2 linked regions of the Rattus norvegicus genome follow. The protein of the gene in region 1 interacts with the protein of each later gene in a biochemical or structural test. Links are inferred from orthologs where the notes say so. Each region holds a gene or a part of one and is shown on either strand. Other genes may lie near its edges.

What was found. The genes of interacting proteins can lie anywhere in the genome.
Region 2: the proteins of Sptbn2 (region 1) and Actr1a form a complex in vitro, tested with the Homo sapiens proteins (2 studies listed by BioGRID). The link is inferred for Rattus norvegicus from reciprocal best matches to the Homo sapiens genes SPTBN2 and ACTR1A.

What each region holds. Positions count from the first base shown.
Region 1 is NC_086019.1:211,462,257-211,468,154, forward strand, and holds part of Sptbn2 (spectrin beta chain, non-erythrocytic 2), read left to right. Parts: intron 1-642; coding exon 643-906; intron 907-2,357; coding exon 2,358-2,582; intron 2,583-2,776; coding exon 2,777-2,866; intron 2,867-3,494; coding exon 3,495-3,755; intron 3,756-3,842; coding exon 3,843-3,973; intron 3,974-4,169; coding exon 4,170-4,374; intron 4,375-4,963; coding exon 4,964-5,338; intron 5,339-5,898. UniProt on the Homo sapiens protein: Probably plays an important role in neuronal membrane skeleton.
Region 2 is NC_086019.1:255,179,735-255,185,632, forward strand, and holds part of Actr1a (alpha-centractin), read right to left. Parts: intron 5,042-5,898; coding exon 4,917-5,041; intron 3,828-4,916; coding exon 3,611-3,827; intron 3,010-3,610; coding exon 2,917-3,009; intron 2,415-2,916; coding exon 2,240-2,414; intron 2,143-2,239; coding exon 2,081-2,142; coding exon of another isoform or gene 1,928-2,080; exon of another isoform or gene 1,366-1,927; coding exon 1,325-1,365; exon of another isoform or gene 1,183-1,324; coding exon 1,080-1,182; 3' UTR 1-1,079. UniProt on the Homo sapiens protein: Part of the ACTR1A/ACTB filament around which the dynactin complex is built. The dynactin multiprotein complex activates the molecular motor dynein for ultra-processive transport along microtubules.

The DNA of each region.
Region 1 (5,898 bases):
TATTCATCCACCGTCCCTGTCTGCCATTGGTCGAGGGTACTTCTGACTCACCACGCATGCTTCCTGCACTGCCATAGAAACAAGTCTTCAAGCTGAAAGGTTTAGTGCAAGTGAGAAGGCATGAATTAAGAAACATGACAGCAGGGGTTGGGGATTTAGCTCAGTGGTAGGCCCTGGGTTCTGTCCCTAGTTCCGGAAAAAAAAAAAAGAAAAAATAAAGAAACATGACAGCAGATAGTTGAAGTCTGTGTGCAGCACAATACTAGAAGGTTCCAAATGGCTTTAATCCTTTTTTTATTGAGACAGGATCTTGCTGTGTGGACCAGGCTGGCATTAAACTCATAGCAACCTTCCTGTCTCAGCTTCCCAAGTGTGAAATTTCAGGCATGAGCCACCAGGCCCAGCTGCAGTGACTCCCTAAGGGAAAGTCAAGTTGGATTGAGTGGAGTGTGGTCAAGAGTGAAGAGCAGTATGGGAGGCTTGCAAAACCTCTGGGAAAGTCTATTGATGAGCCTGCCTCACACAGGACATTAGAACTACCTGGCACATTTCATACTGCTCAGATCCTGGGCCTGTGGTCAGCCTGCAACCTTCAGTGGAGTCTGCCTTTGGCACTTAGACCTCCTTTGTCTTGTCACTTAGGAAGGGCGGGAGCTGACTCTTGAAAAGCCAGAACTCAAAGTCCTAGTGTCAGAGAAGCTGGAGGACCTGCACAGGCGCTGGGATGAACTGGAGACTACCACCCAAGCCAAGGCCCGCAGTCTTTTTGATGCTAACCGGGCAGAGCTATTTGCCCAAAGCTGTTCTGCCCTGGAGAGCTGGCTGGAGAGCCTGCAGGCCCAGCTGCACTCAGATGACTATGGCAAGGACCTCACCAGTGTCAACATTCTGCTAAAGAAGCAACAGGTATGCAAGGAACCTTTGGGGAGGGTGAACAGCCAGACAATGGAAGAGGGTGCCTAGCTTTTGGACTTCAGGAGGCCTGGTGTATGACATCTTTTAGCATTTCTGACAGTGATCTTAATTAAATACAACATCACAGTCTACAAGGCTGTGAGTCAGTCAGGAAAGTCAGGAGACAGGCCACACTAATAACTTGAACAGAGGAACTTTAGTTTAAAAGAGCTACTCATTAGTAAAAGGTGTTACTACTAAAGGTGTTATCTCGGTCTGTGCTCTGTTACTACAATAAAATACCTGAGACTGGGTGATTTATTTTTTTAAAAACTTTATTTTGGCTTGCAGTTTTGGAGGTACAAGGGTGTAGTAGCAGTCAGTATCTGCTTGGTTTCTGATGAGTCTTGTACTGTGTCGTAAGAGGACAGAACAGAATGGAAATTAGTTCGTGTGAGAGACAAAACCCGAGAGGCAGCCTCACTTTACAACCTGTTCTTGTAACTAACCAAGTCCCATGGGAACTACATAAATCCCTTTAATGATCTACTCCATCTTGTAAAGGCCTCTTACTGTCTGTCAACACTTTACTTTGAGGACCAGACTTCAGCATAAGTTTTGGAGGAAACAAATTACAACTTAAACCAGAGCAAGTCTAAAAAGAATTTTACAGTTGGTGTCAGAACACCTTTTCTCTGTAAAGAGGCAGTAGGGCCAACAACAGCTCTGTGTAAAAATGCTTATCACCAGCCTGAGTTCAAGCCCTAGAACCCATATACAGCCACAGATTAATACAATATAAAAACATTTCAACAGAGCTAAATGATAAATACTTTGCATTCTGTAGGTCATAGGATCTGTCCCAGCCATTCAACTTTGTCTTTCTTATATATAAACAAATGCCATGCACAATACTATAAGGAATGGACCAGTGCACCAATATACTTAATCTAGTAAATAGGCTGTCTTTGCTGATTCCCCGACCCTAAGAGTCCGGAATAGCAGGATTCTTTTCCCTGGAGGGGAAAGAGCCACTAGATCGCTTGTACTCTGATGGCAGTTTGAAACCCAAGCGAAAAGCTAGGCCTGCTTCAGTGTTTCGGGCTTTTCCTCTGGTGCCCTCTTCTGACAAGACAGGCATTGCACTACTTGGAAAAAAAATCATGTTTGTAGGGACTAGTTCAACATCTGAATGTGTGCGTGTGTGTGCGTGTGTGTGTGTGTGTGTGTGTGTGTGTGTGTGTGTGTGTGTGTGTGGTGTGTGTGTGCGCACGCGTGCCTGCCTGCCTGCCTGCCTGCCTGCCTGAGTTTGTGACTGACCTATCCAGACTATAAGGAGTTGTTCTTCCTGGGAGAAGGCCCCAGGAATCGGAAATCATGGGTGGTTTGATAGAGGCTTCTGCCTTATGAGTTTGAAGGTAGAAAAGTGGCACCAATCTCTCTTATCTCCTCTATGTTTGTAGATGCTGGAACGAGAGATGGCTGTGAGAGAGAAGGAGGTAGAGGCTATCCAGGCCCAGGCAAAAGCCCTGGCCCAGGAAGACCAAAGTGCAGGAGAGGTGGAAAGGACCTCCAGAGCTGTGGAGGAGAAGTTCAGGGCCTTGTGTCAGCCCATGAAGGACCGCTGCCGGCGCCTGCAAGCCTCCCGAGAGCAGCACCAGTTCCACCGGGATGTGGAGGATGAGATAGTGAGTTACGGCAAGCTGCCCTGGCCATGTGGCTCTCAGGCCCACTTCCTGGGCAGTGGGGAAGTGCCTCAGGAAGTGGCCCATCCCCTCCAAGGACATTCACGGATGTTCTGCTAGGTCCCTGCCCTCAGGTACACAGTTGGAGCTGTGGGTAGCTCCGCTCACATCTCCACTGACCTTTTCTTTCTCTTCAGCTGTGGGTGACCGAGCGGCTTCCCATGGCCAGCTCTCTGGAGCATGGCAAGGACTTGCCCAGCGTCCAGCTTCTCATGAAGAAAAACCAGGTGAGGCAGAGGGCAAGAGTGAAAATAAGATTCTCAAGGTTCTTCACACTCAGACCTTTGTTTTTTCCCTTTTTGTGTGGTGATGGGAGGTGGAGGATGAGTGCTGTTGGTTTGAGACAAGATCTTACTATGTATCTTTGGGTGGCCTTGAACTCACAGATCCACTTTTGTCTGCTGGAGTTAATGGTTATGTACACTGCCATGCCCCACTCTCTTGTTTTCTCTATGATGGGGTGTCTCTGGCATTGTCTTCTTGCTTGTTGCCCTAGACTTGGTGAATTACCTTTCCCTAGCGCAGGAGAGTGGCCTCTGTGGTAGGAAAGCATGAGGATTGAAGGGGTATCACATTGCATCCCAAAGAATCTTCCGGAGGGAGGATGGGGAGGGGAACACCCATATAGAAGGGGAGGGGGAGGGGTTGGGGGATGTTGGCCTGGAAACCAGGAGGGAATAACAGTCGAAATGTAAATAAGAAATACTCACGTTAATAAAGACGGGGGGAGGGGGGGAAGAATCTTCCAGAGGATTCAGGAAAGAGAAGAATGTAGGGAGGGCCCAAGGTGGAGTAGGTCTAAGGGGTTCGAACTTTTTGCAAGCCGTTCACTGTATCTTCTGTTGCTCTGGACAGACTCTGCAGAAGGAGATCCAGGGCCATGAGCCCCGGATTGCAGACCTCAAAGAGAGACAGCGCACTCTGGGAACAGCAGCAGCGGGTCCAGAGCTGGCTGAGCTCCAGGAAATGTGGAAACGCCTGAGCCATGAGCTGGAGCTTCGGGGTAAACGACTGGAGGAGGCCCTTCGAGCCCAGCAATTCTATCGTGACGCTGCAGAGGCCGAGGCTTGGATGGGGGAGCAGGAGTTACATATGATGGGCCAGGAAAAGGCCAAGGTGAGCGTCAGAGCAATGGCTGGTTTGTGTGGCCAGTTCTTCTGCTCCTGGCCCCTGCTGCCTGACACTCAATTTTCCCTCTCCCAGGATGAGCTGAGCGCCCAGGCAGAAGTGAAGAAGCATCAGGTACTAGAACAAGCCCTTGCTGACTATGCCCAGACCATCAAACAACTAGCAGCCAGCAGTCAAGATATGATTGACCATGAACATCCAGAGAGGTGAGTGTATGAGTATCAGGGAACCCTGGAGGAGCGGGGAGGCTGGTACTGGGAAAGTAAAGGGATGGTGGCGTCTTATGAACCACGTGCACACAGAGTAGAAAGTTGGGAGGAGCAGAGACTTGGCAGGCATTAGCAGGCAGAGCAGTTGGATGGCAGAGCTCCACAGAAGGAGCCATTCTCTCTACCTCTGCAGCACAAGGTTAACAATACGCCAAGCCCAGGTGGACAAGCTGTATGCCGGCCTAAAGGAGCTGGCAGGAGAGCGGCGTGAGCGTCTGCAGGAGCACCTCAGGCTGTGCCAGCTCCGCAGAGAGCTGGATGACCTGGAGCAGTGGATACAGGAGCGAGAAGTCGTGGCAGCCTCCCATGAACTGGGCCAGGACTATGAGCATGTGACTGTGAGTACTATGCAGATCAGCACCGGGAAGGATCAGGGCCCACAGGGAGACCAAAGCGTTGGCCCAGGCAGGATGATGAGGGTGGGGACGCAGCAAGAGTAGGTGGGTTTTGAGTTACCCAACTTGAGCAACTGTGCAGAAAAAGGGGTACAGGGATGGCCATAGGTGAGGATCAAAATGAAATTTCTTTTCTAACAGACCTCAACAAAAAAGGGAGTGTCTCAGATTCACTGCTGTGGTTGGAGATTTGGGTCCTCTGGTGCAGAAATCCAGCCCATACTTAGGGTATCCTTATTAAGGGCTATGGGTTTGGAGTGTCTCTAGATACCTTTCGTAGGATGTCAGGTGTCATATAGGACTGTGGTATTATGTTACCCCAGCCATTTTAGTTCACATTTGTACCCTGGTGAAATTCCCCAGTGATGCATTTCTCAGGTTGTGTCCTGTTAAGCAAGTCACAAGTGTAAATTTAAAGCTGCCATACCTGCTCACTGACCAGTGGGTTCTCAGCGAGAAGTGACGGCTCCTTGAGACAGGGACCTCACACAGGTGGTCTCATCTCTGTCTTTACAAATGCTTCTTCCATCAGATGCTTCGGGACAAATTCCGAGAGTTCTCCAGGGACACCAGCACCATTGGCCAAGAGCGTGTAGACAGTGCCAATGCCCTGGCCAATGGGCTCATTGCTGGGGGCCATGCTGCACGGGCCACCGTGGCCGAGTGGAAGGACAGTCTCAATGAGGCCTGGGCTGACCTGCTGGAGCTGCTGGACACAAGAGGTCAGGTGCTGGCTGCTGCTTATGAGCTGCAGCGCTTCCTGCATGGGGCCCGCCAAGCCCTGGCACGGGTGCAGCACAAGCAGCAGCAGCTTCCAGATGGGACGGGCCGCGACCTCAATGCTGCTGAGGCCCTGCAGCGCCGGCACTGCGCCTATGAGCACGACATCCAAGCCCTCAGCACTCAGGTCTGACCCTAGCTGAACAAGTCGGGAGGGAGGGGCTGAGAGGAAACTGTGTGTTGGGAAATGGGGGGGGGGGTGTCTTGTGTGCTAGGGAAAACCTGGGGAAGGATGGCACCCCTGAAGGGGCATTTGGAGATGAGGTTAAAATCACTCCTGAAAGATACCTCCAGCCGATGGATATCAGCTGTCACATTCAGGATTCTTTTATAGCATCAGAGTACAGGTTACAGTGTATATGGAGGTCAGAGGGCAGTGTTGTAAGAGTTGTTGTAAGAATCAAATATTTGCACTTTAGGTTCTGGTAATCAGGCTTGAGTGAGTGATTTTTACAAATTGAGGCATCTCCCTGGCTAAGTTCATGCTTTTAATGAGGACCTACAATTTTTTCAAATGGTTCCAATGGCTGCAAGATCCTTCATGCTATGCCTAAACCTACCTATTTTGATCCCTTTCAGGCCAGAATTCTCAATTCATAAATTTAACACCGATCATTCTTTCAACCCCTATGACCAGTCAGCCTGCAACCAAACTCCAGTCTGCAGGCTGCACATCTCACCCTAGTA
Region 2 (5,898 bases), about 44 Mb from region 1:
AACACACCCCCCTCACAAAGGGCCTCTGCCAAAGAGGGATGCTCCTTCCTGTCTTAGAAAATCCAACCACAACCAGCCTGTTGGCTCCAGGGCAGTGAGCAAGTGGGGCCAGGAGAAAGGAAGAGGCTGGTTGGGGTGCCTTCATGTGCGGCCTCCAATCCCACAGGGTCCTGAGGCCCGTGAATACTGTCAGTTCACTATCAGCAGGGAATGCCAGAGCCCCTGATACTGTGGAAAGCCTGGGTGCTGTAAACATTAGTGTAAGCAAAGGTGACCAGTGGGCAGGAGACAGGAGCCCTCTCTACTCCCTTTACTGAACAAACATGTCAATAAATAAACCGATGGCGATGGTATTGAAACCAAGATGTATGAGAAGCAAACAGCAGGACCTGGAGCCCACAGTCCTTACAGTGTCCCCGAGCCCTGGATGTGGCTGGAGCTTGTAAATCAACCCTGAAGCTATCCCCCATCCTTCCCAAATGCCCAGTGCGGTCCAAATTGCTACCTGGTTCCCAGGTGGATGTGAGTGTACCCTGCTCTCTCCTGAACCCAGTCTTTAACCACTGCTAGAGTGCTTTTTCAGTCTCCCAAACCCAAACTGAACCAAACCAGACAGAACTTAACCCCAGCCCCAGTTCTCGGTGTGATCCAGAGGCATGGGCAGCACAGAATGATGAGCTGGGGAGACAGCAGCTGCCTCTGGCCTCAGGGCACTCGGGTGGAGTGGAGCAGGGCCAGCCCAGCCGAGATTGGCAGCAGCAAGGTCTCTCATGGTAGTAACCATAGTTCCACACAGTCAGCCAAAGGCCTGGCTGAGAAAGGAGTGGGCCTCTGCCAGAGCTCTTCCTGCAAGGGGCCAGTGAGTAGTCAACCCCAGGCCTCAGGCCATCCCCCTCGTGGGTAGTTCAATGTCCTCTCTGGGCCCAGGATTTCTGGGCCACACGGCACTCCATAGTAGTACACACTCATACCATACCCACACACTCACTCATACACACAGGCAGTTCCTCTCAAACACTCCAGCTCAAGAAAGTTTTAAAGTGGAGTTAACTTCAGAGAGAGGTGGTGATGTCGCAACATTAGAAGGTTTTCCTGTGGATGGATCGGGCACCATCTTCTTCATATTCCTTCTTGGAGACCCACATCTTCTTAAAGGTATCCAGGGAGGCAAGGATAGAGCCTCTGCAGTGGAGAAAACCCAGAGAAGCAGTGTGACTGAATGAAATTGTGCAGCCGGTCAATTCCCTGGGGGTGGGACAAGGTAGGATGGTGGGATGGTCAGAGCCTCGCTTCCCATTCTGCTCTTATTCCGTGGGCTACTCACCCAATCCATGTGGAATACAGTCTCTCCTGGGGTGCAGATATCTGCAGAGGGGGACAGGAGAGGAATCTAAGACACCCAGACGCAGTCATCCCTCTGTTACATGTGTGTTCCCAGGTGTGTGGGAGCACATGCACATGAGTGTGTGCATGGAGGCCCAGGGTTGACACCTGGTCTTCCTGGCTCATGCTGGCTCGCCTACCTAGCTAGCTTGCCCTTGGGGACCTTGTCTTTACCTCCCAAAGGCTGCCATTTTAAGAGGTGGCCATGCCTACCTGGCTCTGATGTGAATTCTGGGCATCTGCACTCTGGTCCTGATGCTTACATAGCAAGTGCTGAGCCACCTTCTCAGCCCCACCCTGTCCCTGCCCACTGTCTCACTCTGTCCCTTGGCTGGGTGTAATGGATGTACACCACGCAATAGGCTCTTTGCAGGAGCTGTGGCCAGCCTGACCGTACGTGGGGAGATACACCTATGGCAGGAATTAGATGCCTTCTCTTGGGGCCTGTCCTCTCCACATGAAGCCCTTCAGCAGCCGTTCAGAAGGCAACTGCATTACAGGGGTCCTACCTTGGGGGATGGGAGAGGGCACGGTAACGGTAAGGTCAAGCTGTCAATTCAGTTTTCCTGATAGGCCATGGGGTACTAGTCTGCACTACCTGGAGAGCTTGGGGGAGACCCGGCAGGGGACAGAGCTGCCCTGTCCTGCAAGTCTGTGGAGCCCCGTTGTGCCCGGCCCGGCCTGCAGTGTGCCCTACCCTGATCTTCACATCTTTTGGAGCCAGTTTCTTCACTTCACTCAGTAGCCTGTCCCCAAAACCTACAAAAGAGCAGAGACCCCCAAGTTAACTCTGGGCATCTGATCCCTGTGGGATGAGGATGCTTCCCTAGCAAGGGTCCCAAGAGCAAAGACCAACCTTTGAAGAGGGTAGAACCTCCTGAGAGGACAATGTTGGAAAAGAGCGTCCGCCGTAAATCCATGTCTGACTTCTGGATAGCGAACACCAGCACCTCATGGATACCCTCACTCTCCTCGCCAATCAAGTCAGGCCTGAACAGCAGCTCAGGGGCCCGGAACCTGGAAGGGCCAATCTGTGGGGTAAAGAGCCAGCTCAAGAGGTTGGGCTGGGACTGAGGTCCCTGGAATGGGAACAGAAGAGGCCTTCCTGCCTATCTCTTAGCAATCAGGTGTCTGTGAAGCCCGGGCTAAAGACAAACCTTCTGTGACAAGGGTCTCAAGGAGCAAAGACAGGGCTCCTAGGAACAGACCAAAGAAACCGTTCTGGGGAACTAGGGTGGCGGTTAGGGGGAGTGCTTATCTTACTACTAGCTTTGGAACTTTCTAGCTAAGAGATTTCTGGCATTGACACTCTAGGAAATGTCTTATCAATTGGAGTTCCAGGGAGCAGTGACTTCGCTAATCTGTACCCAGGGATGGTTAGGACAGCAAGCACTACACAAGTACTCCCTAGGGAAGTCCCCATAGAAGCTCTGGGCTGCTGTGTTCTCAGTTCTGCTGGTCAGGCCCTCTCAGGACCTTCTGCTGAGCCCAAAGCTTAGGTGTGAGGGGAAAGGAGAAAAATGTGGTCACTACCTCAATGGTGCTGCCATCGGGCAGGTAGTACTGAGCCTTCTCCGTCTCCAGTGTCTCATCCTTCTGGGGGTTTATGGACAGGTAGCAAGCTCTCTGCAGAATCAGATATGAGTCATGTATGCAGGAAACCTAGTGCACTCTCAGGCAAAGTCCACAGGAGTAGCATGCCTATCTGCAGCGACTGCCTAAAAGTGCTCGCCCACAAGCAGGGACAGGGGTCTGACACACTGTCCTGGGCACACTTAAACCATGAATTCTTGTTCTGCTTTCCTGGTAAGCAAACCTGGGAACTTGGCTCCATAGCTCCCAGGCCTGTGACTGCCTAAGTTTAGCCAGGCTCAGGCACCTTTCTCCTCCTCCCTCTGGTATGGTTCTGGCTTCCCACCAGTTCAGAGGTTTCCCCAAACCATACATGGTAGGAGGGTTTACGTAAGAAGACAAAAGCATTTCAACTTCAACAAGGATGTGATCCTAAACTCAGGGGCAGTGGCCTGTGGGCTGAGGGACTGGAAACAGCTCCTTTCCCACACTCAGGCAGCTTTCAGGAAGGGGAAGGAGCAAGACAGACGAGACAGACGCACACAGGTACCAGGAGGATCCAGAGCCTGACCCAGGACCCAGCAGGAGCATCGTCCTGCTTTACTCTTAGGTTCACTATTCCCCTGCCACCCCTCGGCCACAGGACACCACTCACTTCCTTTATGGCCTTGACAATCTCAAACTCGGAGGAGGAGTGGAAATCGTAGCCCTCCTTTCGTAGGTAGAGGCGGAGGAAGCGTGAGACATCGCGGCCGGCAATGTCAATGCGCATGATGGAGTGAGGCATGGCGAAGCCTTCGTAAATCGGGACTGCATGGGTGACGCCATCCCCAGAATCCAACACCACACCTGTGGTTCTGCCTGTGGCATAACTGAGGCAAAGAGACAATCACTGAACCCCATGCCCTCTAGGAAGAAGTCCACGTGTTAAAGCTCCGGGTCAGGGGAGCTCTGAGCCTTGGTCCACTTTTCTCCTGGGCCCTCTGGCTGGGTCCCTGGGTACTAAGGAGACCTTGAAGTACTGAGTGAGGAGCAAAGCTTCTCCAGCATCCTAAAGGACAGGCCTTCTGGTCTGAGAGCACAGCCTGGTGTTTACAGTCCTGGGGACCTGACCTAAAGGGCAGTTTCGATTCCCAAGAGAAGAGGAGGAAAAAGCATTCAGCGGAGGAGGAAAAGGGGCTGCTTTTCCCTTTCCCTGAGAGCTATGGCTTTCCCATGCTGCCTCTGACGTCAGCCCATAGTTTTAGGTTTTTTTTTTTTTAAAATATCCAAATGGCAGAAATGAGACTCAGGAATAGGGCAAACCCTTACTCAGGCTCAGCATTCAGGGGTCAATAGGTAAAGTCAGCTTGCACACCCAACGTGCCACGGCAACTGCGCCAGCCGAGATTGGATTTAGTCCAGGAATGCTGGCCCAGTGGTATCAGAGATTTCCATTTGTCCAGAGGTTAGAAATTTAAATTTGGATAAGAAATCCTTTATTTTTGTTTTGGGAGGGTGCTGGGGACCATCCCCAGCCCAGGAAATCTCCCAGCCTGCAAATGCTGGCTCATGATTTAAGGAGGTCAAATACATAGTCTGTGTAGGTCATAGGGCACCATCTCAGCAGCTGATGGAGGTAGGCATGAGGCCGGGTGGGCAGCATGGCAGGTGTGGTGCTGTCTGGACCACAGCTATGCCAGCAGCCCTGCAGAACAGCTGGCACGCGGTCCACAGAGTGAATACTGGGATACATTAAGGAACCTTGAGAAGGGCCTCGGCGGTGTGTACCACAGACCTGAACCCCAAACCTGAGAGCAATGGGCACCCACACTTTGCTTTGGTTTATCTGAGGCACTTCGATGTCTAGTTTCAGTAAGAGTTTCTTTTTCTCACTACCTCGGCTCATCTTCCCTGGGGAGAGTGGATGTATTCGGAGGCTTAGGTTATAGAGAGGCCACGCTAGCCGGGCTGCTACTCACAGGCTAAGCACAGCTTGCATGGAGATGAAGAGAGCTGGCACATTGAAGGTCTCGAAGAAAACTTCTGCCGCTCGCTCCCGGTTTTTCCGAGGGTTTAAAGGTGCCTCAGTCAGGAGCACAGGATGCTGGGGAAAGAGGCCCAGGAGGCAGGCAGTGAGGTCAGCTCTCCACCCTGGTGACCCTGCCCTGAAAGTCTGTTGTCTGGGGGCCTTTGTCAGCTGAGGCTGTCACAAGTCATGCCCGTGTCTGTCAATGTCACATCCTAAAGCCCCATTCTGTCCTTATTCTCAGAGTGCACCTCCTTGTCCTCCAAAACTACTCTACAGGTCCCTCTGTCTGTCAATATATTGTTAAATTCAAGTTTTTCTATGGTAAATATATTTCAAAATAGAAATTTTAAATTTAATATTGGTTTTTTAAAAAATATTTTATGTATGTGAATACACTGTAACCATCTTCAGACTCACCAGAAGAGGGCATCAGATCCCATTACAGATGGTTGTGAGCCACCATGTGGTTGCTGGGAATTGAACTCAGGACCTCTGGAAGAGCAGTCAGTGCTCTTAACCGCTGAGCCATCTCTCCAGCCTCCCCGCCCCCCTTTTTAAATATTGAAATTGGTTTTTCATGGTATTGGAAATTGTTTCCCGCTAGACAAGCACTCCTCATAGAGCTCTATTTCCAGCCCTTTTACTTATTTACTTATTTTTATTATTTTTAAAAAAGATGTCTGTACCCCCTGGCTGGCTTAGAACTTGTTATGTAGACCAGGCTGGCCTCAGACTCAAGAGACTTACCTGCCTCTGCTTCCCAAGTGCTGGGTTATAAAAGTGTACCACCGACCCTGGGTGGGATGTTTACATTTTAATTATTTTAAATTATGTTTCTGCATGTGTATTTATGCATGCAAATGCAGGTACTGGTGGAGGCTAGACCCAGTACATGGGGTTATAAACCACCTGTATGAGCAGTAGGAACAGAG